Linked DNA regions of Canis lupus familiaris. The protein of the gene in region 4 interacts with the protein of the main gene of each other region in a pairwise test. Links are inferred from orthologs where the notes say so. Each region holds a gene or a part of one and is shown on either strand. Other genes may lie near its edges. The genes, in order: NXT2, CHCHD2, RAB39A, GOLGA2, PRKAB2, C14H1orf35 and SCAF8.

Region 1 (4,269 bases), on a different chromosome or scaffold from region 4:
CAGCTTTGAGCTTTAATCAGAAATTAATAATATATGAAATTAAACAGTTCAAGGAACATTCCCTGTAATGGCACACTCCTTCACTAGCACTGATACTGTTTTAAGTATACTGGCTGAATGACAGCGTTAAAAAAGGTAACATATTTGAGTAAATATATGTCAAACCCCATGTCAAGTGCAGTAAGTTAATTCCCATTTACTCTCCCTAAAACTAGAGAATAAGAGAGATTAACAATTTACCCAAGGTCACAGAGTTAGGTAAATGCAAAGCTGAGAGAGGGACTCCAGAGCCCACATTTCCAGAGTATCATAACCAATCCTTCCCTTAAAAAATGCACTTTTAAAGAACAAGCCCACAGTTATCACTTATGCAAGTCAGATGACTGGATGGCTACAAAAAGACAAAAAGCAAAACAAAAAACCCTGGTACTTAACAAAGTGTAGTAGAGTCTATAAGGCTCACCCGTCTTCTTTTGTCCATTGTCTCATAGTAAATATTGACAAATTCCTCAGCAGCTCTACATGCCTGATCTACGTGAGTTTTAAAGTCCTAGAAGAAAAAATTCAGAAGTGCACATTACCACCCCTCCAACTCCTAACAAAGAGAAAACGAACAAAAGCTGGTCACGTATTTCAATCACTTTGTAGCTGCATACACAGTTCACATTCTTCCATCGATATTTGGACATTATAAAGGTCAGGGTTCAAAAGTTTCCAGTTTTTTTATTTTCCCCCATTTTAAAGTACATGTGTTTAGGACATACTCATCCCTCAATAGTGAATTTTTTTCTCATTTCAAATATGAATTTATGTTTGCTTGGTAACTGGTACTGGAAGTACCTTACGCTTCCAATATCTTACAAAACATTCACCTTAAAAAAACGATGTGGTCTGAACCTTATAAAGGGCAGGGTGGTGGTGGAAGTGCTGAATTCCCTCTTTAAGCCAGAACTCAGGACAAAGAGTTACTCAGTGGGGGAAAAAATGGAGTATAAAACGAAGTTCGATGAAATGCTTGAAAAACTATATAGTTAGGAAACTTCTACACATGACGGAAAAATTCACCGGCATTTGTAAAGAATTGTCGAACCGAAGGAGAGAAATGCTGTTGGGGTTTTTCTTCTGCCGGATGATTTAATAGGTACCTTTCTCCCAGCCATTCGCCGAGCCCAGCCTATTATTTGAATTAAGAATCCGTTTCATTTCCCTGTCAGGATATCGAAAGTCATTCAGAGAGGGAGATGATAGAGAATAAAAAATCGCAAGCCATAAACAGACCCCAACATTTCCGCTTCCCGCCAACTCTCATCTCGGGGTCCTTGGCAGCAATCGAAAGGGACTGCACGGACGCCAAGGGGTGGGGGCGGCGGGGGAATCTGTGGGCTCGCGACCCAAGGGGGCTACAGAAAGCGGGCCCCGCCCCGGAGCCCAGCGGGCCCGGCCCTGATTCGCCACGGGACCACGTGACCACCAGGCTGCCCGCCCCAGCGCCCCTCCCCTCAGCTGCCCGAGCCGCGGCGCCTCGGCACCCTGCAGTGGCCCCAGCACTCACCACAGACGTGGCCATGAGGGACCCCGAAGCAGCTTGTTCCGGCAGTGGCGGCGTCACTACCTCTTCACGTGTCGGGCGCCCTCGGCTGCTGCAGGACCAAAATTTAGGAAGACAGCTAAACCCGCCAAACGCCGAATTCTCTACCCGCCCATTCTCTCCCGGAAGTAGCTCGGTCCGTTGTTAAAAGCACCCCGATGTTCCAACCTTAAGTACACTTCCTTCAGTTCCGACCGTACCCTCCCATCTGCCTCCTCTATTCATTTGGTTGCTATTTATCTACTTGGTTGGGAAGAAAAAAATCCTCTGCTTTCGTAAACTAGATACTCCAAGTAAAAGTATCCATTTCCCTCACGAAGCGGGACAAGAAAAAAAAAATCTAAATGGCCCAATAGGGGGACTTCTTTGCGCCAGGAGGCGGGGCCAAGGATAGCAGAAGACCAACGAGAAACGCGAGGAGACACCTACTGGAACTGTAGACTATAGGAAAAAGGGGTGGAGTTTGGGGAGGGATGCCACCACACTGCGCATGACTGGCAAAGAACGGTTTAAAGTTCTGGAACATTCTGGAAGAATCTAGCCTCACTAAATCGAATCCCAACGGTCTCAGCAGCATTCCTAAAATTATTCATGATTTGGTTTTCTGCTATTCATAAGAAAAGGCTTATCAAGTTCCTTCATGCCCAAATTTTGGTCTCAGACTCCAAATGAAGATTAGCAAACCTTGCCATTCACCACCTTCTGCAGCCTACTTTCTAACTGCAACTAAAATTTTACTGCGTGGTGACCACGAGCAATGTAATTTTCTAAGCATTTTAATCGATATTCACTTATTACTTTAATAATGCTATGAGGTAACCATCTCCAGTTTATAGCTAAGGCACATTGTGATTAAGGAACCCACTGAGAGTCACAAACTAATTGGGGTTCAAGCTCAAGCAATTTAACTACCACTACAACCTGATTTCACTCTCCAGCATCCTTTAAAACCGTTCACCTCAAAGGCACCAACAGCTTCTGCATGGTTAAATCAATTAGCTATCGCTATAGTCTTACCTCGAATAGCTGGTTTCTGGCTCATCAAAATATTCTCTCCTTCTTTGGTATCTTCCTGAGTCCCTTCTATGAGCCCAGTCTCTTCTGAATCTTCTCATATTTGAATCTTATTTGCCCCCCACAGCGCTCCGCTCTTCAAACTACCTTCAACTGCAGGCAGACTGACTTTCTTCCCCTGCGCCCTTCTTACTGGCGTCACTTCCGGGGGTGTCTCTTATTTAAAAACCTCCTTCCTCCCACGTGACTTCAACTGCTATTCATATGCTAATAAATCTTCACGACACATCTCCAGCCCCCACCGTCGATGTCCAGTTCCGCTTATGGAATTTCACTAGATATGAACAGCAGAAATGCTTTACAGGTTTCTCGAACTCTTAAGAGTCCAAAATTTAAACTCCTTAATTCCTCTGCAATTCCAATCTTCTGTATTCTTTCAGTCATCTATGCTTGAATTCTTGGACTCTATTTTTAGCACCCCCATCATCGTAATTCACTTGTTTGTTCAAAAAATATTGAACACTTACTATGGACTACCACGTTATGCAAGGTTCTCCACATAACGTTCACAATGTAATGGGAGTTCTAGACAATAAACAGAACATTTATGAACTACAGAGGAATTCCAAGTAACTTGCTCAATTTGGCTCATTTTTTAGGCAACCTCTCTCTCTCTCTCCCCCCTTCCTCACCTCCTCTCCCCCTCCCTTCTGCTGCCCCCTCCCTTCCGCTGACCCCTCCCATATCCTCCCCTTCCCTCCCCTTCCCTCCCCCTCTCCCTGCCAGTCCCCACCCCCTCTTCTGCTCTGCTCCCCTCCACCATACCTTCCACTGCGCCCTCCCTTTCTTCGACTCTTCCCCTCCTCCCCTTCCCTACCTCCTCTCCCTTCCATTCCCCTCCCCTTTCCATCCCTCCCCCTCCCTGCCAGTACCCACCCCTCCCCCTCCCTTCTACTCTGCTCCCCTACCCATCTCCTTTCCACTATCCTTTCCATCCCTCCCCTCTCCTCTCCTCTCCCCTTATCCTCTTCTCCCTTTCCCTCCTCTATATGCAAATATTCTCACTTCTCATTTTTCCAAAATGTTTCTAATCTTTTAAGACCTACCTTGGTCTAGTCTCAATTTGCCATTCCAGACTTCTCTCTCATTGTTCACCAACATCGGCAAAGTTAACTAGTACTGTTTGCCAAAAATGACTTGTGTTTACTGCTTTATAGGTAATTATGCTTATTAATTGAGAGCTCAGAATAGGTGTCTGGTGTTTATTATAATCTCATTCAATCCTCATGACCCCTGGAGAGAGACAAATTATTATCTAAAATTTTAAGAACTCAAACTGCAATTCAAAGAGGTTAAGTAAATTGGCTAGGATGACATAGCTAGTGGAGCTAGAATTTCAACCCAGAGCTGTGTAATCCCAAAGTCTTTTCTCTTAGACACTCTGCTAGTCACGTATGTGCTTAAACTACACTTTTTAAAAAAAGGTTTTATTTATTTATTCATGAGAGACACACAGAGAGAGAGGCAGAGACATATACAGGGAGAAGCAGGCTCCCTGTGGGGAGCCCAATGCAGGACTCAATCTCGGGACCCTGGGATCATGCTCTGAGCCAAAGGCATATGCTCAACCACTGAGCCACTCATTGTCCCTAAACTATGCTTATTTT
Region 2 (4,184 bases), on a different chromosome or scaffold from region 4:
AACAAAGATGCAAATAAAGTTAAATGATTACATGCGTATCTAAATACCAGTGGGGTTCAATGTAGTTCAGAGGAGAAAGTGGGACTATAATAGAAAAATAGACGGATAAGCATGTCAAATACACCAGAAATACAACAGAGTCCACACTGAGGTTCATCAGAGGAGAAAATTCACATACTTCAGAAAGAGGGGCAGTGGCAAATACCAGATAAGAGGTCAGAGAGCTCTACTAAAGCTACTAAAAAGGTTTTTCAATACTTAAGATTGAAACTAAATTTAAAATAAGGGGAAAATGGCTGTTCTACAATGAATCAGGTTGAACTGCTATTCTACTCCTTGGGAACAAATACAATGTGGACAGTACTTGATGCTGGTCTAAAGCACTAACTCAACTGCCAAACATGGCTTCTGACAAACCATTTTCTGTTAGGAGGACCATGGATTCACAGCTCCTATACATAAGGAACTGACAAATAACTAGCTTTTCTTGTAACCTACCCAATGAAAGAAAACACTGCCCAAAATCTTACCTGGTAAGTGATGTCGGGCCTTGAAGGCTCAGTGTTACTTCCTCCACCAAAGCCCCCAGTAATGGCATGCCCAATCGTGTGCCCTACAGCAGAGCCTACAGCCACGCCAGCTGCAGTGGTTGCCATCTGGGCCATGAGACCTGGCTGTCGGGGTGCAGCAGGTGAGCCAACAGCAGATGGCGGAGCTGCTGCTGGTGGCTGAGCGGCTGGCGCTGGTCTAGGCGCAGCTCTCATCTGAGGTGCCCGGCTAAGAAAGAAAAGAACAAAAAGCATGAAAAGTGCCCACTTCCTACCAGGCTTGGATACTGTCATCTAAAGAAACTGTACTGTTCACACAACACAGGTTTGAACTGCATGTGTCCAGTATGTGTGGATTTTTTTTCAATAAACACAGTATAAGTATTGTGTGTGCTTTCTCTTATGATTTCTCAGTAACCTTTTCTTTAGCTTATTTTATTCTAAGAATACAGTATTATAACATATATACAAAATACGTGTTAAGTGACTTTATGTTATTGGTAAGGCTTCCAGCTAGAGGCTTTCACTAATATTCAATCCTGCTTTAGAATAAGTCTTCACACATGATGTCCCCTCTGGCCATTTTTAGACTGTTTCCTTGGGTGCTCTTCCCCCAAATAAGGCTAGGTTGGAAGTTTATTTTTTTAAGATTTTATTTATTTATTCATGAGAGACACAGAGAGAGACAGAGAGACCGAGAGAGAGAGAGAGAGAGAGAGAGAGAGGCACAGGCACAGGTAGAGGGAGAAGCAGGCTCCATGCAGGGAGCCCAACGGGGGGGTCAATCCTGGGGGTCCAGAATCAGGCCCTGGACTGAAGGCAGCATTAAGCGGCTGAGCCACCTGGGCTGCCCCTAGGTTGGAAATTTATGAATTTGCTTCCAATCAGGTGGTATCTGGCATCACTTTATAAAAATTTGGTTTTTCTGTCCTCTGGAGAACAGCTTCTTTCCCTTAAGTGAAGGACTGTCCTACAGTCCTAGCATACAGTCTGAACACAATCCACCTCACTCCAGAGAAGCAACGTGGTCCTGTGTTTAACACCCTAACCGGTTGTTGGAAGACTTGGGCCAGACCTGGCTTTCCTATTTACTGGTAGGGTGACCTCGGACAAGTCACTTGTTCCGAGGCTCCAGTTTCCTTATTCCTGGAAAACAGGAATAACATCTATCCCTAAGGTTACGGGTGTTAAAGTGTAACTACCAGTATATTTCTTTTTTTTTCTTCTTTTTTTTTTTTATTTATGATAGTCACACACACACACACACAGAGAGAGAGAGAGACAGAGGCAGAGACACAGGCAGAGGGAGAAGCAGGCTCCATGCAGGGAGCCCGATGTGGGACTCGATCCCGGGTCCCCAGGATCGCGCCTTGGGCCAAAGGCAGGCGCCAAACCGCTGCGCCACCCAGGGATCCCTACCAGTATATTTCTAAAGTGTTTTATGAATTAGACGATGTCGTGTACAAGGAGGCTTCGGTCGCTGGGCCGAGCCTCTGGACCGCTCTCTGTGGGCTCGCAGGTTACCCTGTTTACTGAAATGCAATCATTCTCCCCATTATACTACCTTTCACCGATACTCGTTTTGTCTTTTTATTTACTTCAGAAGCTTGGGCCGGTTTACCCTTACAAATACTCATTTACTTCCAGGATATGACCGTTTTAACTTAAAATGCGCTCTGGGCGGGCTGGTTGAATCGGGGGAGGGGCGTCTAGATCCTGGGGTCGTGGGTTCCAGCCCCACGCCGGGTGCAGAGCTCACTTCAATAAACGTAAAGCATTTTTTAAATGAGCTCTCGAATATTTTAAGAACTCACGGGCATTCGAAATCAGAAAGTTCGCCACCAACGGGAAATGTGGCCAAAGCCCAGTCACGATGCCCTGGCGGGGGCGGGCCCACCTCACAGCGGTACCCCCCTCACCCCCACACCCGCCCTCGGCCGGCGCCCAGCACTCCGCCGCCCCCTCCGCGGCCTCCACCAGCCTCCGCCCGGCCTCCGCATGCGTCACGGCGTCGGCAGGGCCCCAGACCCCGCAAGGGCCTCACCTGGCCGGAGGAGCCATGCGGGAGGCGCGGCTCCGGCTTCCACGCGGCATGTCTACTGGGACAGGAGCACGGCGCCCAGAAGCCCGACACTCGGCGAAGACCCCAGAGGCTTCGGCGGGAGCCAGAGACCGGAAAACAGGGGGTGGGGCTGGCCTCGGCGTGCGACCAATCAGCGCACAGGCAGAGGCCTCGCGCGCCTACGTCTCCGCGGGCCCTGAAGGTCACTGGAAGAGCACGCGCCACGCCGGCGCCGGGTCGGACGCGGCGTGCGTCATGAGCTCCGCGCCAGGCTGCCCCGGGAGACCGGAAGGCCTGGAGGTGCCCCGCGCGCCTGTTTTCCCAGCCCAGCGGGAGGCAGAGCCGTTCGCTTTTGCTTAAAAGCGTCGCTGCCTTCCGCCGACGTTTCTATTGGTGACGGGGGGACGAAGCCAGCCCTGAGAGGGAGGCCGGTGTCGGCGCGGCTGCCACCGGACCTTAGTTAACTTTCCTCAGCATTAAGTTACGTATTTGGGTAAGGATCTTTTGAGGCACCGTGTGGGCACATGGTGTGAGCGGGACGGAGGAAAGCGGATGCGTTAGGCAGGGCCCGCGGAGCTGAGGTGATCCCATTTTTATTTTACCTGTGGACTCAGGCCGTAATAATGCCTTACCGTGGCTCCTCTACCTTTCCGGGCCCTTTTCGTACATGCCATAGCGCTTGTGCCCGTAATCGGGGTAGTGCTCGTTCACTGATAATCAAAAGTGTAGTGAATGATTTCCGGGCGCTGGCTCCAACGAGACTCTTTCTTCGTGGACTTTGGGTCAGGAGGGGACACACGACAGCCTGCACACCCCGAGCCGCCGTGACGGGCAGCCTCGGCAGGGTGGGCGAGACCGGGCGTGAGGCCCCCGGGGAGGGGCTCGCACCAGCGCCGGGCACGGCGGCTGGAGGGAGCGGGGCCCCTGGGACGCGTCCGCGCGCCTCCGGAGCGGAGGAGCTGGCTCGGGGCGCTCCCGGGAGGGCTCCGGGCAAGGGGAGAGAGCGGAGGTGGCTTGCACGTCGAAGAGAAATTTTCCCCTTCCGCCTGAGGTCGCGGAGTTCAACGCATTCTCTCCAGTAACAGCAGAATGTTCGTGGAATCGAAGGGTAAATAATCCAAAGACCTGTCATGAAAAAGTTTTATTTTCACAGAACTTAATGAAAGCTTTACAAATGACGTGACATTTCTCTGGAGAATTCATAAGCAGAGACGGAGGAAAGGAGCCTTATAAGGACATCCTGGCACAAGCGCTCAGAATGAACATCCATAACAGAGACGATTTTTTTTTTTTTTTTTTTTTTTTTTTTTTTTTAACAGAGACGATTTTAATCGCACCTGGCTGAATCATGAATTCCCACTCCGAGGAGAGAATATTAGATATTTGTGCAAGATTATTTTGTCCTAGTAAAAGATTGGAAACAAATTCTTGTCAGTAGAATACAAATTTTTTAAAAAGGCGCAGCACACAATATACAGCTATAAAAGGGAATAAACTCTATATTGTTATGAAAGATATGATGATAAACTGTCAAGAGAAAGAAGGGCAGAATTGGGTGCAGTGTGCTTGGAGAG
Region 3 (3,500 bases), on a different chromosome or scaffold from region 4:
ACACTTATGTCCCACCAGCAGAAATACAATCCGAAACGGCTGAACGTGCATTTTTGCTTCTTCTAGCCAATCTTTCACGTGTTCGAAAGATCGTCGGTTGGTAATGTCAAATACTAAAAATCCACCAACTGAGTTGCGGTAATAAGATCGAGTTATTGATCTGAAAAAGAAATAGAAAAACAGGTTGTAAAGGGACAAATTTTTCTGCTTCTCCTCTTTCAAACAATGTAGCACCATAATAAAATTTGAAGGTAACCTGGACCAGAATTTATAAATCAAATATGATGTGTCTTTTTAAAAAAGATTTTATTTATTTGAGAGGAGAGAGCAAGCAAGCAAGAGCAGGGAGAGAGGCAGAGGGAGAGGGAGAAGCAGACTCACCTCTGAGCAGGGAGCCCTACTCGGGGCTCAATCTCAGGACCCTGGCTGGGATCAAGACCCCAGCCAAAGGCAGATGCTTCACTGAGTGACCGAGCCATCGGGGTGCTCCCAAATATGAAGTGTCTTAAGTGGACAAAAATATTCTGAAACTAATAGGCAAGCCAGTTTCATCCACTGACAGAACATTTAAAGTGTAGTTATTTTTAGATAGACAAAAAGAACTTAAGTGGTATGTTATCTTGCACTTAGGACTGTTTTTATTTTCAACTATCTGCTTGAGTAATTATTACATTACTGTGATTAAAAATAGGAATATAGAAAGATATGGTGAAGAGCAGAGGTTGCCCAGCCAACCAGATCTTAAAAATCTCTCTTCCTGTTATTTAATGCAAGGAGCCCCTCTCTATCCATTGAAGAAGAAACGAGGGTGCACCTGTTATAATGTGAGTCACAGCTACAGTCCTGTGTGATACCTCTTCAAGAAACAGGAAATTGCTGGCACATGGGGTGTGAATCTGAGGTGTGCTAGGGATTCCATCTGTCCCTCTAGATCTAGTCTCTGCTCTTCTCTGGGCCTCAAAGCTTTCCCAAACTCCCTCACCCTTGGGCTTGCAGTGAGGTTCAGCCAATGGGAGCACCAGCTGGGTAGCAAAGAGGTCCAGCTACATACCCTCCTCTCCATCTCCACTCTTGGCTTCACAGCAGCTATGTTCCTGTTTCTGGTTGTGGTTCCCCTTGAATAGCACCTTTCTAATGGGTTCCACCAGGTTCAGGTAATCTCATTCTCTTCCCTCTGCTGGTCAGGTGGTGGATGGCTTCTCACTGTGGCTAACTTTGAATGCCTCACCATCCTTGATTGATGCTGTTCACCTTGCCCACATTTCTAGAAATAGTCACTTTGCTAAACTTTCAGTTAACCCTTCACATGTGCTATTTCCTGACTGAATCATGAGGCAAGGTGCTAAGGCCATACTGTTCTATATTTCTTGCCTTTACATGCATTATTTTTTCTACCCAGAATGTCTTCTACCCTCCTATTTCTCCTTCAAGAATCAGCTCAAAAATCATGTATAGGGATGCCTGGGTGGCTCAGCAGTTGAGCGTTTGCCTTCAGCTCAGAGTGTGATCCCAGGATCCAGGATTGAGTCCCACATCGGGTTCCCCATGAGAAGCCTGCTTCTGCCTCTGCCTGTGTCTCTGCATCTCTCTCTGTGTATGGGTCTTGCATGAATAAATAAATAAATCTTTTAAAAAAATCATGTATAGAGAAGCTTTCCCTGCCACTGACCTTTTGTCCTCTTAGGCAATCCTGTTATAACTCCATTGAGCCTCTGGCATACTGCCATTATGATTATATCCATTTTCACAATGTGCTGATTGGACCGGTTGGTATGTCTCCCATTCAATTCAAGACTCCTTGAGGGTCATTTTTCCTCTAGGTATCTGACAATACCTAATATCATATTACCTGGGAAATGATATATGTTGCTTAGTATTTGTTATATTGGATTGATTAGTCTTATTGGAGAGGGAAAGTGCTAAATGTTGTACGAGGCAGAGATTGCAAATGTCTGTTTCTAAGTTGTCAATGGTCTTGAGCATTGAGATGATCATTAAGTAAACTCATTTGACCACCCAAGATCTTTGTGGAAGGCCAGTAGGTCACCTGGTACTCTCTCCATCTGTTGCATTCCTTCATTATCTTTCCTGCTGAAATCACAAGCACCATTTGTTGTGGATGTGGGAAGAAAGTATTTCACCTCTTTTTTCTTTCCCTTTCATTTGCTTCCCTGCTTCTCCTCAGAATTTTTTTAAAGATTTATTTTAGAGAGAGAGAGGGAACACAGGGACAGGGGCTGATGGAGAGAATCCACAGAAGACTCCTCTGATACAGGCCTCCATATCATGAGCCTGAGATCATGACCTGAGCTGAAACCAAGAATGGGACGCTTAAAAGACTGGGCCACCCAGGCACCCTCTCCTGAGAATTCTTAGTAGAGACTGTCAAGTGACTATTGTTTTTTAAGATTTTATTTATTTATTCATAAAAGACACAGAGAGAAAGAGAGGCAGAGACACAAGTAGAGGGAGAAGCAGGCTCCATGCAGGGAGCATGACGTGGGACTCGATTCCAGAACTCCAGGATCACACCCTGGGCCGAAGGCGGCGCTAAACTGCAGAGCCACCCGGGCTGCCCTCAAGTGACTATTTTAGGAATGTTTTCTCAAGGACTACTGGATTACATAGCCACTGTTAGTAAGAAAAATCTCCCACTATCTTTCACAGGCTTCAAATAATGGGGTTCATTTAAGTTGCTTTAAAAAAACATTGAGGGATAATTTGTTATTGTTTTGCTACTTATCTTGATATGTGTGAATTCAGGCAGATGTGCAGTGCTGTAAGAGAAACGACATTAAGGCTGTTACTAGACTGAAAGCTTTAATTTACTCAGCACCAAGTCTGCATTACTTTGATTCCCCCTCCTATTTAATCTACCATGAGTTTAATTTACAAAAACATGCTTTTGTGGTTGAAAACTCAATGCTGAAACGCTCGTATATTAGGCAGAGCCATATCTCACACTGTAGAAAATGCCATGTTTTCTAGCCCTTTATATCTAATTTTGCAAACACATTTGGAATACAGTTGGCAAATTCTATAGAACAAAATTACAGCAAGGTATATGCCATGTACACTCTAAAACAGCCCTTATTAATAATAGATTAGCTGGAATAAAAGGTCTCAATATGACATCCGTCATTTTCTACGTAATAACCTGATCTTCAGTTTCTATATGTGGGTATGGATAAGAGGTTTAGAATTCTGATATGTTAGCCTTCCCATTCAGATATAGTTGTCCCAGGGGGTAGGTTTTCCCTAAAACAATTGGGCATCCCTGCTGTCAATTATTCAGGGGAAGAGACAAGCCTACAGCCTGAAAACTAGAATGTGAGAGTTAGGTCTTCTAGAAGGGGGTAAGGAACATTTAGCTTTTTCTGGGCCTGCTCTTTTGGGTCATACTTCGGTCTCTAGGAGTTCTTGGAAGTATCAGAAGAAGTAGGGTACAGATCCTGAGAGAACTATGTAGGTCAGCTTCCCTATAAGGAATTCCAGAGTTG
Region 4 (3,500 bases):
CAATGCCCACAGTGCAGACTCCAGGACCTAGGGGCCAGTGACTGGAAACAGGCACACACAAGGCTAAACAGTATGGCTAAATCCATTTATTCCGAAATAAAAAGCAAACAGAAGTTGTGAGTCACCTGGGCGGAACCCCGTCCCCGCCTCCTTCCTCTGTCCTATGCTATCAATAAATAAGTTTCCTCATCCCCAAATATTTAATAGAACTTCCTCCCCATTTGCCAGTTCCAACCTCTGCTATGATACAGGGGGCTGCCCTATCCCCAGAATATACAAAATGTTACACAGGTACAGTATATACACTGGGGAGGGAGCCCCCCCCCCCACCAGCTTATGCCTTTGCCTGGCCTGGGTTAGCCCCAACTGTCCTAAGGCCTGGGAGAGTGCTGCCCAGTCATTGAGCTGGACAGGGGGAGCACTTGTTCCCCAAAGTGCCTCTGAATAGAGGATGCCTGAGCCCCTCTGAAGGACTGCTTGGTGGGGGTGAGGAGGCCACCAGGGAGCCCCTGCCCCCCAAGAAAGGGAGCCCTCTAAATAAACTATGTTTTTATTGAGCCTCTGGCTCTTTGTTTTTCTGGAACGATGAGTAGTCCAGATAAAGACACAGCCCTTGCCAAGGTGGCAAGAGGTCTGCACCTATTTGTCTCCCCCAATTAGGAGGCTTTTCACACCCCTCTCAGGGGTCTTATCTTGCTAGTTTAGGGATAAAAGGGTAACTGGGAAGGAATGATAGGGTGGCAGGGACAGGGTGGGAGCAGAGCCCCCGGCCCCACTTCTCCAGGTTTTGCTTGCTGGTGTCAGGCTCTTAGATCACCAGGATCTTCACCTCGTCATTGTCATCAGCCCGGTAGAAGAAGGGGACGCAGGGATTCTTGCTTAAACCTAGGTATGGCTGGGGATTCTGCATCTCCTGCAGAAGCTGCATGATTTGCTGTGCAGTGGGGTTCTCAGGGGCACTGTGGCCTGGTAGGGCCTCTCCCTGAGGAGGTGCCACATTATCATTGTCAGCCAGGCTCACCTCTCGAAGATCTTTGTGGGTCAGGGAGAGAGAAAGAAACAGGGCTCTGAGTGCTGTGCGAGCTCTCCCCGCCCCACCCACCCTGAGGGCTCTACTCACCACCCTGGCCATTGGCAGCACCAAGCTCTTGGGCTGGGGGTGCTGTAGCAGGCTCTGCTGCGGGGTCCTGGGCAGCTGCCAGGAGCTTGCCCTGCCGTTCATTGCGCTCGCTCACTAGGCATAGCACCAGTTTCTGTAGCTCCAGCAGCTTCATCTGGAAGGAGAGGTGCTGAGCACCCCCGAGTTCCACCCCTGCCCTGTACCACTCCCAGCGATGCTCAGGGCCCCTACCTTCATGTTTTCTTTGTCTTGAGCCAGACGGCTAATGTACTCCTCCTTCTCCCGGTGCCGTTCCTTCAGCACTGCCCTCTGATTCTGGTACAGGGCGATGTATTCTCCTGTGGGTACACGGGCTGCCGCTCAGGCTCTTGGACCCATCACAGGGCTCCCCCCACCCCCGGGTGCTGGCCCTCCCACTCACCAATAGTGTCTGTCTCTCCAGAAAGCTGGATGCAGCAATGCTCCAGCTCCTCCACCCGCTCCTTCAGCTCCACTTTCTCCTGCATGAGCTCCAGGAAGCGGCCCTGTGGCCAGAGCAGCAGGGTCAGGGTCAGGCAGCCCGCCCTGGTGGCCCCACCCTTCCAGGGCTGGCCAGCGACTGGCTCACCTGCAGCTTGTCCATGGCCACCTGAAGGGCCTGGTGGGTCTCCCCAGGCACACTGTCACCACTGGGGGCTGCGGCCTCCTCCTGCACCTGCTGGCCTGGGGCCACCAGGTGAGCCAGACGCTGGCAGCGCAGCTTCTGCTTCTTCAGCTGCCCGCGCAGCCGTGCCTGCTCCTCCTCAGCACTGGCTAAGGCCGAGTTAAAAAATGCCACCTGCAGGTGAGACATGTGTGTGTGCTCTTGTGGGGGATACTCAGGGTGACCAGGTGGCAGGAAGGCAGAGAGAAGCTCCTCCTCTCCTGGCCTTCGTGGGCACATCTGCGCTTCAAGGATGGTGCCGAGGCTGACCGCTGGGTCCCATGGGTTTGAGGGTTGAGAGAGGTTGAGGGAGGGAACCAAGAAGAAAGGAGGGTGCCCCTGGGAGGGGGTTACCACAGAGGGAAGCGGGAAGGTGGGACGAGGAAGGGGCAGCGGGGGTCTGCTCACCACGGCCTCTCGGCTCTCCAGGTTCTCTGGCATGCTCAGCTTTGGCTGGGCAGCCTCTTCTTCCTTCTCCTCACTGTCCAATCCATCTCCTGTCAGGGCAGATGGAGGGTCCTCAGACAACCCAACAGGGGAGGTAAAGCGGGCCAGGGAACAAAGCTTGGGGCCAGTGCATCCCCAGAGAAGAATTCACTGTCCTACAGGTCCCGTCACACTTGATTCTGTGCTGCTCAAAGTCACCCCTCCTCCTCCTCGGGCTCTGTCCTCTTCCCCTGGACACTCTCCTACTCACCTTCCCCAGGCATAGCCATGAGGCTCAGCTGGGCCTGGAGCTGCTGGTTCTGCTGGGTGGCAGATTCCAGGCGTCCCTGAGGGGCCAGGAAAGAGTGAGAAGGGATGCGGGTAGCAGGCCCTCCCCTCGGGGCCCAGTACTCGAACTCCCTTCACCTGGGTCTCCTGTAACTCTTGGAGGGCTTTCTCGGCCGCCACCTTGCCCTGAACTTCCTCATGCTGCAGCCGGTCCATGAGCTGAGTCTGCAGCAGCACCTGCTTGTGCAGCAGCTCCTTGTCGGAAGCCAGCTGCTGGTAGGCGGCCATATACTGCTGCAGGTGGCTCATGTACTGGTCCCGCTGCTGCTGTAGATTCTGAGCCTCCTGGCTCTTCAGCTCCACCTGTGGGAAGACCCAGGGACTAAGGCTGGCACCCGTGCTGAGAGGAAAGCGGGAGGCTCTGCGGCCCGCCCAGGCCCCTGGCTTCCTCGCTCTAGGACTTCAGTGACTGCCCCTATATCCAGGGACCCACACTTCCCTTACCCTTCCTCATGCCTCATGACCACCTTCTATTTTCACTTTAGTGGAAAAGCAAAGTGCGCCCATGGACATCTGAGTGCGCCCTGAATGCCTCACACTACAGGCATGCTTCTCATTTAATTCTTGACACCTGGGCAGCCCGGGTGGCTCAGCGGTTTAGCGGCCCCTTCAGCCCGGGGCCTGATCCTGGAGACTCAGGATCGAGTCCCACATCGGGCTTCCTGCATGGAGCCTGCTTCTCCCTCTGCCTGTGTCTCTGCCTCTCTCTCTCTCTCTCTGTGTCTCTCATGAATAAGTAAAATCTTAAAAAATAATAATCCTTGACACCTCTGTGAGCAAAATGCTAATATCTCTGAGGACACCTGAGGCTGAGAGATGAGAAGCGACTAGTGACTGGTGGAGCTGGGGGTAGCATCCAGGGCTGAATCCGAGGTGCACCATCTCTTGACCTCGTTAGGGGCCTGAGCTCTCTAGCCAGGACGA
Region 5 (3,500 bases), on a different chromosome or scaffold from region 4:
TATAAAGCACTTTGGTAGCTCATGAAAGAAAGGAAAAAATAGAAAATAAACTGTATCACATGGGGCAACCCCGGGTGGCTCAGCGGTTTAGTGCCACATTCAGCCCAGGGCCTGATCCTGGAGACCTGGGATAGATTCCCACGTCGGGCTCCCTGCATGGAGCCTGCTTCTCCCTCTGCCTGTGTCTCTGCCTCTCTGCCTCTCTGCCTCTCTCTCTCTCTCTGTGTGTCTCTCATGAATAAATAAAATCTTTTTTTTTTTTTTAAGAAAAACTAAAGAAAATCCCTTAAAAAAAAGGGGGTATCACATGTAACAAAGACACACATTCTGCTGAGACTTGTGTTACAGGCGTGGGGGGATGGATGGGGGGGAGAGAGAGAGAGAGAATTGAGTTATAATGTAAAACAAATGTCTTGCTGTAGATCCTAGTTAAAAAGTTTGAAATCATGGGGCACCTAGGTGGCTCAGTTACCCTTTGGCTCAGGTCATTATCCCAGGGTCCTGGGAGAGAGACCTGCATAGGGATCCCTACTCAGCCGGGAGTCTGCCTCTCCTTCTCCATCTCCCTCAGCTCATGCTCTCTCTCACTGTCTCAAATAAATGAAATCTTTTTAAAAAGCTTTTCAATCAAATACACTGAGATTTCTTTTCTCTCAGAGAAGGAGATCTAAATGTTTAGAGGAAAAATATACATATATGTACATATAACGCATATATGATTCAGAAGATTCTTGAGGAGAAAATGAAGACAAAAACCACTCTTAGGAAAAAACTTGCATTGTAAGAAAAACACATTAAGAAAGAGCAAATACTACAAAATTACCTCGACAAGATGTCTCCGAGCTTTCCATTGAATCTAGTTTTAAAGCATCAAACACCTCAAAGTCAGATTTCTTGACATGGATCAAATTGTTAATTGTGCCAAGCTGACTGGTAACCACAGGCTGAAACAACGAATGGAAAACATTCATAAACCCTGTTTTAATTCATCGCTTCCATCTAACTCTCCTATTTTAAAAAATGATCATACTTAGCACCTCCATCTTTAATCAAGAGAGAAATCCTCCAGTGTAGGAGCCCATCAATCCTGACAGGAATGATGTTTGATACCAAAGGGAGTAACAGCCAAAAGAACATAGTTAAGATAATGGCTACCCTTGGAGATCAAGACCTTACCTCTGACGGATCATGAACCCACTGTCCATCCACGAAAAACTTGTACTGGTGCTCTCCCTCAGGGAGGTCTAAGATGGCAACAAAGTCATTATGGCTACAGAAGAAAACACAAAGTTAACAGGCCAAGTTCCTGTTAGAAAACAGAATGCAAATATAAAAACCATGAGACATTCACAACTTCATACCAATGATCTCCCACAATCCTAAGCGATTGTTACCCATGGAATAAAAATAATTTATAGACTCATTCTCCTTATCTGTATCACCTTGAGCATATATTTGCCAGCCCATCCCAATAACTTTAGTTCTTAATTAATATCTGGAAAAGAATAATAGATGTTAATCCCCCAAAATGGTTCACCTTAGTGCAACTAATTTGCTTTAGGAACAGATCCCTCACAAGTGTAAATAAGATAGCAGGTAGCTTCAGAATACAGAAGTGCCTCAAGATACCCCTTCCAAATTTTGGTGAGCCTTTTCTGAAAAAATGACCTATATATAAATGAAGAGCCATTCTGATTAACAAGTAATTCATTATTGCTCTACAAGCAACAATTCACATTATTACCTAGAACATCATGTGTTTTGTTTTAGTGCAGAAGTCACAGCAAGTGGACTCAGCCAGTTACAGATGACTTCCCACAAGCATAGACAGGACTTGTGTTAACACAGTCCTAAAGAATGTACCCACAAAGTGAATAAGTTCCCCTGAGGTAATGATATTCCAATCAGTAAAACATCTCTGACTCACTGAGATTTAAAAAAAAAAAAAAAAAGGTCACAGATGTAGTTATTGGTCACAGAAAATATTCTAGAGAGAGTCCCTAGCTGGTGAAGAGGAGTAGTCCAGCCAGGTCTCTCTCCTGAGAAGGGAAATCAGGTCCCTACTCCTGGACCCTGTAGACTCAACCAAGAACACTTGTCTTCACCTCTTAATCAGTGGAATCTTGGTGCTCCAATTGTTGAAGGACCCAGAGATGAAGACCTCTTTGCCTCCTTCAGACCATCGGATAACAGTGGGCCGAGCCTGCTGTGTGGGCTTTACGGAGTCCTCCAAATCCTGTTGCCATGATACAAACTCTTTGTCCCCAGGGAGCTGTAAGAAGGATTAGGTCATCCCTAAATTGTGACCCAGGAATTCTTAAAAGGTCACTCTCCTCCCTAGGGCAGAGAGGGGTGCTATGTTTCTGGTAAGAATCAATAATCCTTGAAATTAGCAGCTGAATCAGATTTTGAACAAACTATAGAAAAATAAGTCATCTAGGACCCAAATGGTCAAACAGCTTATGCTCAGGGGTTGACCAAATCACAACCTAACTTTAGAGTCTGCATGTATCACTCACCCTTTCAGAGCCTTCGGATCTCCCTTTAAAACAAGTTGGGGGAGGGGGTGTGCTTACTCCCAGTTACCAGATCAACCCACAGGCAGGCAATTATGATATACTTCTGAGTACCTCTTAAGAGAAAAAAATAAGAAAAAAAGTATGTTTCCATAAAAAGCAATGAACTCGGCCATGTATTTTTCATACGTAAGTATGATCAGCTCTCAATTATCGGCAAGTTAGAGATACTGTAATTCGTAAATAATTAATAAACTTCATTTTAGCTAATAGGTTACAAAAGGACATTAAAAGCATAAAAAAATCATGTATCATTGGTTTCTTAAATTTTGAGAAGTGGTTATAAATCTTGCTCACTCCTGCCAGGTATATACTAATTATTTCAGGAGTGAGGATGAAAACTCTGGACCCTCAAGAAACATCAGATCAAAAACATGGCTTTTGTTTAAGGAAGCTTCCTTTAACAAAAGCCGTTTCAATAGCAAATGAGGTCTGTAAGGATTCTAAAAAGAAAAAACAAATGAACTCCTTATTTAGTTTATTTTCATTACCATCCTTTAGAACAAAAGTTGGCAGAAGATGGTCAGTGAGCCAGATGCTTTTATACATAAACTTTTCTTGGAAAATTGCCACACTCACTCATTTACATATTTATCTACAGCTATTTTCATGCTATAGTAGCCAAACTGTTGTGATAGACACTGTATGGCCCACAAGGTCTAAAATATTTACTGTCTGGTCCCTTATAGAAAAAGTCTACTGATCCCCACTTCAGAATGGTTTAAATGACTTCGGTAAATAGGACTGTACTGTATCAAGTCAAAATGTCACCAAATAAAATAATGTGGGTTAAAAAAAAGGATTAACTTATTCACATGGGCTTTACTTTCAAAATGGCTAAGGTAGTCTACTTTCCATATTGTCTCTCAATATTCCTCAAAACTATACTAATGAGACACCAGTAACAGCATAAACTGAAGTAAA
Region 6 (4,123 bases), on a different chromosome or scaffold from region 4:
ATTTCGACAAACAAGCACTGTAATTATAGCTACTAGAATAAAATCTCTTAACTATTTCATGGCTTTCCAGTGCTTGGGTGCCACTGACCCACACTTACCACTGTGCACAGAGGATGTCACTGGCTAGGGACCTACATGGTGTGGCTCACTGCTCCCTGTGTTAGGTGTGCATATGACCCAGCGCCCTCTCATCGTCCACCCGCTGACTGTTAGTGCAGCCCCTGGTCTATTCTGTGGGACTGGGACGTGGAGGGACAGCAGGGTCACCACACTGGGTGTGCCCGAGGCCTGCTCTTGTCCACGCCCATCCCTGCTAGCCAGCCTGCTCCTGAGGGGTAGGAAACCCCTGGCAGGGCTCCTAGTGGCTCTTTGGCTGGAGACCATCCCTCCCACCTGACTGGGCATGCTGGTCTGGTTCCTTCTCCTGGCTGGGGGCGCCCAGTCTGGCCCCCGCCCAAGATTGTTTATACCACTACCAGGTTGAAACACCAGGGCCAGGGTTATGAAGACAGAATCGTTTTTAGTTTGATGACTTAAAGCCAAAGATGCCAGTTTCACAATCATGAGTGCACCCTGGGTTTCATCCTCCCTGCAGGCAGGCTGTAATAGGAGGGTTTAATGACTAGGTGCTCACCTCCCAGGGGTGGGGCACACTGCTGGCTCCAGGTGCACGTCTGTGCCCTGGGGTTGGACATGGTAACCCAGGGAGAGCCCGCCCCCCCCCCCCCTCCCCGCCCTACCAGCAGGGTCTCAGGCTGGTCTTGCTGGAACTTTACTGGGACATGACAGCCACCTTCCCTCAAGGATGAGAGGCTTTCCCCTTAAAATAAGTTTATTTAAGTACAAAGTGAGTTGAAGAAAAATAGAAGTGTCTCGGGGCCTTCCCAGGCAAGTGTGTCCTCCCGGGGCAGGTCCCCTGCTGGACATGGGGGCCCCTTGTGATCTGGCCTCAGTCACTGTGGTGGCTGCGTCGCCTCTTGGAGCAGGGCAAGGAATCTTCAGAGTCAGAGCCGCACTGGTGGTGCCCCGGCCTGGGGATATGGGGACATGTGGTCAGGGGGAGGCTGCCCTGCTCCCCAGACCTTCCCTCTGCCCCGGCAAGGCTGAGCACACCTACCTTGCAGGAGCTGGAGACAGTGGAGAAGCCACCCTGCTCCTGTGTGCCTTGTCTTTCTTCTTCTCTTTCTTGTGCTTCTTCTTCCTCTTCTTCTTCTTCTTCTTCTCTTTCCTGCTCTTCCTGTGGCTCTCCAGGCTGCAGGGACGTGGGGTGGCGTCCCCTGTGCACTGTCCACACAGACACACCCCCCCCTCCCTGTGGCCAGTGGGTACAGCGGTCCTTCCTTCCCGTTGTGGCAGGAAACTGCCAGGAGCAGCAGAGGTAGGAAGGCGCCCTGCTTCCCCATCCAGGGAGGAAAAGCAGGGGTGGGAGTGCACCTTGCCTCCCCCTTGGGGGAGCCCAGCAGGTGGGCCTGGGACCAAGGGGTGGGAGCAGCCCTTACCCAGGCTGCACCTTCTCCTCCTCAAACCGAGGCTTCTTCCTAGCAGAGGTGGGGGAGGCCCCTGGGCGGCTGCTCTCCACGCGGTGGTGCTGGGGAGGGAAGGAGCAAGGAAGGAAGGCACTCTAGGGGGCTGTGGGGGGGCGTCCCAGTTTCGGCGCCCGCCCGATTCTGGGGTGCCCCGCCCGCAGAGGGGGGTTTACCGTGAACACCGACAGCCCCAGCTTGGCGGCCTCCTTGTCTTCCCGGGACAGTGCCACTCGGCCTGCAGAGCCGCTGCGGGAAGGCAGGCGAGGACCCCACGGTGAGAAGGCCCAGGCCTCCCTCGGCGGGGCGGTGCGTCCACCTGGGGAGGGCCCCTTCCACCCCCCAGCCACGCACCTGGAGCTCCCTAGGCCCAGCAGCCGGTCCACTCCCTTCTCCTCATGCTCCCCTCCTTCTCGCTTGCAGACCTCCACAAAGTCCTGTGCGGAGCCAGCGGGTCTCAGGCGGGGGTTCGCACAGACTCCGGGCGCCCCGCCCCCCGTGCGCCGCTCACCTCCTTGCTCAGGCCAGTGGGCTGCTTCCTCACGTTCTTGTAGCCTCTGTGGGGGCCGCGGGCGAGCTTCAGGCGGCGGCCGGAGTCCCTGGCCTTGCCCCTCGGACCCCGCCTCGCCCCCGGGCCCCCCGAGCTCCCCCGACCCCGCGGGGCCCACTCACAGCGCCGCCATGAGTGCCTCCTGCTCCGCCTGCCGCACGGCCGCCAGCTCCTCCTCCCGGCTCAGTCCCGCGCCGTCCGCCCGGCCCTTGGCGTACCAAGTGAGGTCTCGGCCCTTCTGCCAGCGGCCCACGGGGGCCATCAGCGAGTTGCCTGCGGGGACGCAGCGCGACTGCTCGGCCCGCTGGTCGCCGCTCCCCGCCTTCCCACGCCCGCAGCCCCCCTTTCCCGCACCTCGCGCCCTCTCCTTCCCCGCCCCCGCGCCCCCGGCTGCCCACACCGAGAACCTCGCAACCCCGCTTTCCCGCACCTGCGGCACCGCGCACGGCAGCTCGGGCGTCCTCCCCCGCCCCCCCGCCCCCGCCCCCCCCGCCCCCGGGCCCGGCGCCGCACTGACCCAGGTAGTTCTCTCTCTGTTTGTCGGTCTTCACGTCCTCCCAGCTGAACTGGTCCTGCCCGCCACGCACGCCGCCCCGGCTGGAGCCGAACATGGTGCCAGGCCGCCCGCCGCCCCTGCCTCCGTCAACCCTGGCCTGGCCGCCCCGGGCGGCGCCGGCGCCGGGGTCCCGCCGCCGCGTCGCGCGCCTTGACGTCACACTCGCGCATACCCGGGCAGCGCCGCAAGCGCCTGCGCATTGCTCCCCGGCCCCGCCGCCCCGCCTGCCCCCAGCGCTAGGCGCACCGCCCGGGAAGGGAGCGGGCGTAGGCGCCAAGGCGGGTCCCGAGGATCCTGCCGGCGTTGGGAGCCACATTGTGCGGGCGACGGTCCTGGGGCTGTGCCGGGAGATGGGCGAGCGGGTGGGGCCGCAGTGCCGGGAGCGGGCACCGGGGGCGGCTCGGCTCCGGAGAAGCGGGACACGGCCTGCAACTCCCGGGGCCGTCCCCTGGAGACCCCAGCGTGGAGGGCAGGCGGGACGGCGCAGGTGCGCCAATGCACGGGCTCCTCTGGCGCCGCGGGGGGCGGCTGTGCTGGGCAAAGCAGGATCAGCTCCGAGCCCTGGACACGGGGGAGCAGCGGCATGGACAGTGTGTGAAGCCCCCCACGTGGGCGGCGGCGAGGTCCTGCGGAGCGGGGGTCGGGGGCCCACACACAGGAACACCTGGTGCAGATGGGACCTCCACTGACCAGAGCGCTGCAGACGGGCCTGGGCCTTCCGTCCACTTCACCGTGTCACCCGCTGTGGTGAAGAGCCTGCCACCTCCGGCCCCCTTCAGAAGCTAAGCAGGTGCCCGTGCGTTAGTGGAGGTCTTGCCAGGCCCACCAGCAGCAATCTCAGTAGGTGGTTTCTGCCAGAACCCCCTGCCTGGGGCGGGGGGGGGCCCTCTTAGTGATTTCCGTCACCAGCACCCACCCTGCCTTGTGGCTACAAGTCCCACTTGTCCCTGCCCCGCTCACCCTCTGCTCTGCTGTTGACCCCTGCATCGTTGCTGTGACCCCACTTCAAGGGAAGGGCAGACAATGCCGTTGGATGTTCCCAGGACCCTGCGCGTGGCCAGGAAACTCAGTGGACCACCAGGGACTTAGGAGTCCAAAGGTGGGTGCTTAATGCAGCACCCTTCGCCAGGAGCCCAGACACAGCCCCCTCCCATAGAACGTGGGCACCTTCCCCACCTTTTGTATCAGTGCCCTACGGTGGGCACTCACTCAGGTTTCCAAGAGTCCTGACAGCCCAGGCCAGGGCAAGAGGCAGGCCTGGGCCAGGCCAGCGACAAGTGGAAATGTTGGGACTTGGCCTTTTGGTCTTGCAGAAGCCTGGCCAGGCTGAAACCCACCACTGGAGCAGAAGAATGGCAGCCGACCACAGGTTTGTTGTAGTCACAGGGGCCACAAGCCCAGCTGAAGGCACCTCCCTTTGTGGGCCAGTCCACTGACAGCCCGTACCAGCATCCCTGACACCCTGCTCCTCCCACTCTCTTCTTGAGGGCCCCT
Region 7 (3,500 bases), on a different chromosome or scaffold from region 4:
TAATCCCAATCCTGGGAGTCAGATACACTCCCAGAATTTGATAAAATTCCTAGAACTGGTCATTGACACTAGAAGCAAGCTTCTTTCCCATTATTTCAAATATTCTTACAATTAAATAACTTAAAGCCTAATACAGATATAGAAAATATCACAACTGTATCTACAATTCTTCTATAAAGGATTTTGATATATCCCAAATTAACTGCAAAGATCTGAGAAAGGAGTCAAAATAAATACGGAGGCAACAAGACAGCAAATCTACCATCTTTCTGTAATGTTAGAGCTCAATAGCCTGAAATTATATCCCAATTTATTCAAAGTATACTTGGTAGTTCAGAAAACAATGTCCCATCCAATGTTTATAATAATAATGGGAAAAACTTATGGTTATAAAGAAAAACAACAATTCTTACAGTTGAGAAGCTGAAATTTCCTTTTTAGGTTCTTCGCTATGCTCAGAATCTTCCCCAAAATCAAACCTATCCATCAACTTCTAAGTGAGAAAGGGGGAAACAAAAAAAAAAAAAAAGGAGAAAAAGATTAAAAGTGCTTTACACAAAAATAAGGTAGAAGTGCTATTCTGAATGTCAGTGACATCCCATTAATTTACCTCTATCACATAATACATAAATGTTTTATATAATTTTGTTGTGCTATAATAAAGCATTTAATTTGAATGAATCTTTATTTTTAAAGTACTTTGACATACACTGTCTTATATAACAAATCACAACACAGATTAAATATTAATGATCGTAGAAGAGAAGACTGGATTAAAATAATTAAGTGCCTTGCCAATAGTAATAAAGCTTGATTAAAAACACCTAGGACTATAATCAACAGATCTATTCCTAGTATATTTCTCTTCTTAGGATGCTCTACTGTCTTCTAAATGATCAATTTGAAGTTTTTTCTTATGCGGTTTAGCTTTTTAAGTAGGCTCCATGCCCAGCATGGAGCCCAATGCGGGGCTTGAACTCATGACCCTGAGATCAAGACCTAAGCTGAGATGAAGAGTTTGATGCTTAACTGAGTCACCCAGGTGCCCCCTATGTGGTGTAACTATTAAATTTTCAGACTAAATTAGGCTGACAGCTAAAAAAGTCTAAGTAATAACATAATAAATCAGTATTTTCCTAAAAATAAAGTAGCAGAAACAAAAATATGGATAATACTTCCAAGTATTTTAATAGTCTTATAATTAACAAGAATATTGAGGCTATTATACAATAAATTATACATGAAAAAAATTTCAACTTTAAAACCACTATCCTTTATAGATAGGCCTCAATTTATAATATTACAGTGTAGAGAAGTTTTCCTGTGAATTTTCACATTTTCAACAATTATAATTTTAGCAGGTTAAAATTTTAGAATATAGAACATCAAAATTAGTATATTTGTAACATACATAAAAGAAATTAGAAAATTCAGAAAATTATCATTTGCCTCAATGTTACCATATCCGTCAGAAATCTGTAAATCTTTCGTAAAATTCATAATGAATTATACAGTACAGCGTATACTAGAATGGTTCTATAATAAAATGCTATTTACAGAATTAGAATCCATATGATAGCATACAGAGTTTAATACTTCATACAGAACTGATCTGATAACTTAATGTCTACCTTGTTGAAAGCCACTCCCTGTTCTAAGGGGTTCAGGGTGTTGGCCGCTGCAGCTGCAGCAGTAAGCTGTGCTGTGAGAGCCTGCAACTGCACAACAAGACCAGCATCCAGGGCCTGAAGAATAGAAGGCTGAGGCTTTTGCTGTTGTAGTTGTAAAGTCTGTATCAACTGCTGAAGCTAGAAGAGAAAAAAGGAAAATTATTACAAACAGATGCAGAATTTATCTGTAAGAATGCCCATCTTTTCAATAACATTCATTGTTGTACAGTCTTTGGAGATGAAGAAAAAATAGATACTAACTCAAAACAAGTTAATTTTTTAATAAAATATTTTTTGTGTGTCCCATATACAATAATCCTTAATAAGTTTGTCTTGCTTCTAGAAAGCCAGGGAACTTAAGCCAAATAAAGTGGTCATACCATGACAGATAAAGAACTCATCACATATAGCTCTTTTATTTAGAGTCCGGGTGTGTGTGGTCATACCATGACAGATAAAGAACTCATCACATATAGCTCTTTTATTTAGAGCCCCCTCTCAGAGCCCCAAAAAGACTGCATGCTGAGCATGGAACCCAAAGCAGGGAACCTGAAGCAGAGCTCCCAAAGCAGGGCTCTACATGGGGTTTGATCCCATGACCCTGGGCCAAAATCAAGAGTTGGAGGCTCAACTGACTGAGCCACTCAGGTGCCCCTTCACTAAGCTTTTCATTCCTTCCTCAATTAACTCCTTAATCTCTGTAAAAGAACAAGCACTGACAACAACTGCTTTTGCTATCTTTCAGATTTACCATTGGACAACACAATTCCTGAAAGCAGAAAAACAAGTATGAAATTGGGTCTCTTGGAGCAGTCTGAAACTAAGGAAATTAAAGGTGAATAGTGCCAAAAGGAGTTGAAATAAATCCCTGTTCCCTCTATTCATCTATCCTCAAAAAAGCAGAAACAACAAACACTAAGATCCTGAAGATATTTCATAGTTAAGTAAACCCTATGTACATCTTAGAAATAATTAATACTTTCCTAAATCAAGACCTAAACCTGAGTATAAATCTGAAAATTATCAATTTAGAATAGAAACAAGACATGTGAACTGTTTTAAATAAAGATCAACTTATAGTGAGAGAAGGTACAAAAGCCATCCAAGAAGAAAGTAATTTCATGCCTATCTAAAATAGCTACATTAAGAAACAAACTAGAGTCATTTGGCAACCAAATAAACAATGGCTACAAACTACTAATGTGATAGCAAAGAAAGTAATACCAAAATATCTAATAGCTTAGTTACTACACTGAGGAGGTTCCAGAACAGATAGGGAGAGAGGGAGTGGGAGGAGGGAAAGGAGAAAAAAAAAGGAGGGAGAAGAAGAGAGGGAGGAAAAAAGGGGGTAAAGAGTTAATACTGTATTTTCTCCTCTACACACTTTAACTGCTGCTTTTGACATCCCCATTTTTCCAGATAGCACTGTTACTGTTTCAGTCAGTTTCAAACCACTGCAGCATCCTACTTTTCCTTCTACTCTGACTTATCATTCTATCAATTACTATGTGTTCTTAACTCTCTTTTACTATCTGTTCTGGAAAAATCACTTTTCTTGCCAAAAGTATTTATTTTAATAAGTTTCTTTTAAATGAGACCATGTGCTTTATGATTTTTAAAATATTATCACAAAATGAAATTAATAATTTGATAATTTTATCTAGTATCCAATTCAGTTTCCCAACTGCCCCCAAAATGGAGAAGCTGGATCAAATCTAGAACTATAACTGAATTGGTTTTTCCATGTTTAAGACTCTAAAATGGTCCCTTTTATTTTTGAGATGGTCATTTTAGAGAGTCTGCAACCCTACTATTTATCACATATTCATT

Evidence for each region.
Region 1: the proteins of GOLGA2 (region 4) and NXT2 interact in binary tests that used the Homo sapiens proteins (3 or more experiments, as listed by UniProt). The two-hybrid records come from large-scale screens. The link is inferred for Canis lupus familiaris from reciprocal best matches to the Homo sapiens genes GOLGA2 and NXT2.
Region 2: the proteins of GOLGA2 (region 4) and CHCHD2 interact in binary tests that used the Homo sapiens proteins (3 or more experiments, as listed by UniProt). The two-hybrid records come from large-scale screens. The link is inferred for Canis lupus familiaris from reciprocal best matches to the Homo sapiens genes GOLGA2 and CHCHD2.
Region 3: the proteins of GOLGA2 (region 4) and RAB39A interact in binary tests that used the Homo sapiens proteins (3 or more experiments, as listed by UniProt). The two-hybrid records come from large-scale screens. The link is inferred for Canis lupus familiaris from reciprocal best matches to the Homo sapiens genes GOLGA2 and RAB39A.
Region 5: the proteins of GOLGA2 (region 4) and PRKAB2 interact in binary tests that used the Homo sapiens proteins (3 or more experiments, as listed by UniProt). The link is inferred for Canis lupus familiaris from reciprocal best matches to the Homo sapiens genes GOLGA2 and PRKAB2.
Region 6: the proteins of GOLGA2 (region 4) and C14H1orf35 interact in binary tests that used the Homo sapiens proteins (3 or more experiments, as listed by UniProt). The two-hybrid records come from large-scale screens. The link is inferred for Canis lupus familiaris from reciprocal best matches to the Homo sapiens genes GOLGA2 and C1orf35.
Region 7: the proteins of GOLGA2 (region 4) and SCAF8 interact in binary tests that used the Homo sapiens proteins (3 or more experiments, as listed by UniProt). The two-hybrid records come from large-scale screens. The link is inferred for Canis lupus familiaris from reciprocal best matches to the Homo sapiens genes GOLGA2 and SCAF8.

The regions. Positions count from the first base shown.
Region 1 is NC_049260.1:83,436,371-83,440,639, reverse strand, and holds the start of NXT2 (NTF2-related export protein 2), read right to left. Parts: upstream 2,801-4,269; 5' UTR 2,704-2,800; coding exon 2,606-2,703; intron 1,775-2,605; exon of another isoform or gene 1,757-1,774; intron 1,641-1,756; coding exon 1,553-1,640; intron 1,401-1,552; exon of another isoform or gene 1,279-1,400; intron 1,165-1,278; exon of another isoform or gene 1,161-1,164; coding exon of another isoform or gene 1,146-1,160; intron 551-1,145; coding exon 464-550; intron 1-463. UniProt on the Homo sapiens protein: Regulator of protein export for NES-containing proteins. Also plays a role in mRNA nuclear export.
Region 2 is NC_049227.1:495,444-499,627, forward strand, and holds the start of CHCHD2 (coiled-coil-helix-coiled-coil-helix domain-containing protein 2), read right to left. Parts: upstream 2,801-4,184; 5' UTR 2,643-2,800; coding exon 2,593-2,642; intron 778-2,592; coding exon 531-777; intron 1-530. UniProt on the Homo sapiens protein: Transcription factor. Binds to the oxygen responsive element of COX4I2 and activates its transcription under hypoxia conditions (4% oxygen), as well as normoxia conditions (20% oxygen).
Region 3 is NC_049226.1:24,556,081-24,559,580, forward strand, and holds part of RAB39A (ras-related protein Rab-39A), read right to left. Parts: intron 1,578-3,500; exon of another isoform or gene 480-1,577; coding exon of another isoform or gene 382-479; intron 161-381; coding exon 1-160. UniProt on the Homo sapiens protein: The small GTPases Rab are key regulators of intracellular membrane trafficking, from the formation of transport vesicles to their fusion with membranes.
Region 4 is NC_049230.1:55,336,393-55,339,892, reverse strand, and holds the end of GOLGA2 (golgin subfamily A member 2), read right to left. Parts: intron 2,880-3,500; coding exon 2,655-2,879; intron 2,576-2,654; coding exon 2,500-2,575; intron 2,300-2,499; coding exon 2,211-2,299; intron 1,938-2,210; coding exon 1,728-1,937; intron 1,645-1,727; coding exon 1,542-1,644; intron 1,459-1,541; coding exon 1,352-1,458; intron 1,275-1,351; coding exon 1,121-1,274; intron 1,033-1,120; coding exon 809-1,032; 3' UTR 67-808; downstream 1-66. UniProt on the Homo sapiens protein: Peripheral membrane component of the cis-Golgi stack that acts as a membrane skeleton that maintains the structure of the Golgi apparatus, and as a vesicle thether that facilitates vesicle fusion to the Golgi membrane.
Region 5 is NC_049238.1:58,290,933-58,294,432, forward strand, and holds part of PRKAB2 (5'-AMP-activated protein kinase subunit beta-2), read right to left. Parts: intron 2,273-3,500; coding exon 2,106-2,272; intron 1,271-2,105; coding exon 1,177-1,270; intron 945-1,176; coding exon 824-944; intron 1-823. UniProt on the Homo sapiens protein: Non-catalytic subunit of AMP-activated protein kinase (AMPK), an energy sensor protein kinase that plays a key role in regulating cellular energy metabolism.
Region 6 is NC_049235.1:508,157-512,279, reverse strand, and holds C14H1orf35 (multiple myeloma tumor-associated protein 2), read right to left. Parts: upstream 2,779-4,123; 5' UTR 2,685-2,778; coding exon 2,591-2,684; intron 2,347-2,590; coding exon 2,196-2,346; intron 2,081-2,195; coding exon 2,035-2,080; intron 1,961-2,034; coding exon 1,878-1,960; intron 1,773-1,877; coding exon of another isoform or gene 1,700-1,772; intron 1,589-1,699; coding exon 1,500-1,588; intron 1,253-1,499; coding exon 1,118-1,252; intron 1,032-1,117; coding exon 751-1,031; 3' UTR 501-750; downstream 1-500.
Region 7 is NC_049222.1:45,083,353-45,086,852, reverse strand, and holds part of SCAF8 (SR-related and CTD-associated factor 8), read right to left. Parts: intron 1,809-3,500; coding exon 1,632-1,808; intron 494-1,631; coding exon 414-493; intron 1-413. UniProt on the Homo sapiens protein: Anti-terminator protein required to prevent early mRNA termination during transcription. Together with SCAF4, acts by suppressing the use of early, alternative poly(A) sites, thereby preventing the accumulation of non-functional truncated proteins.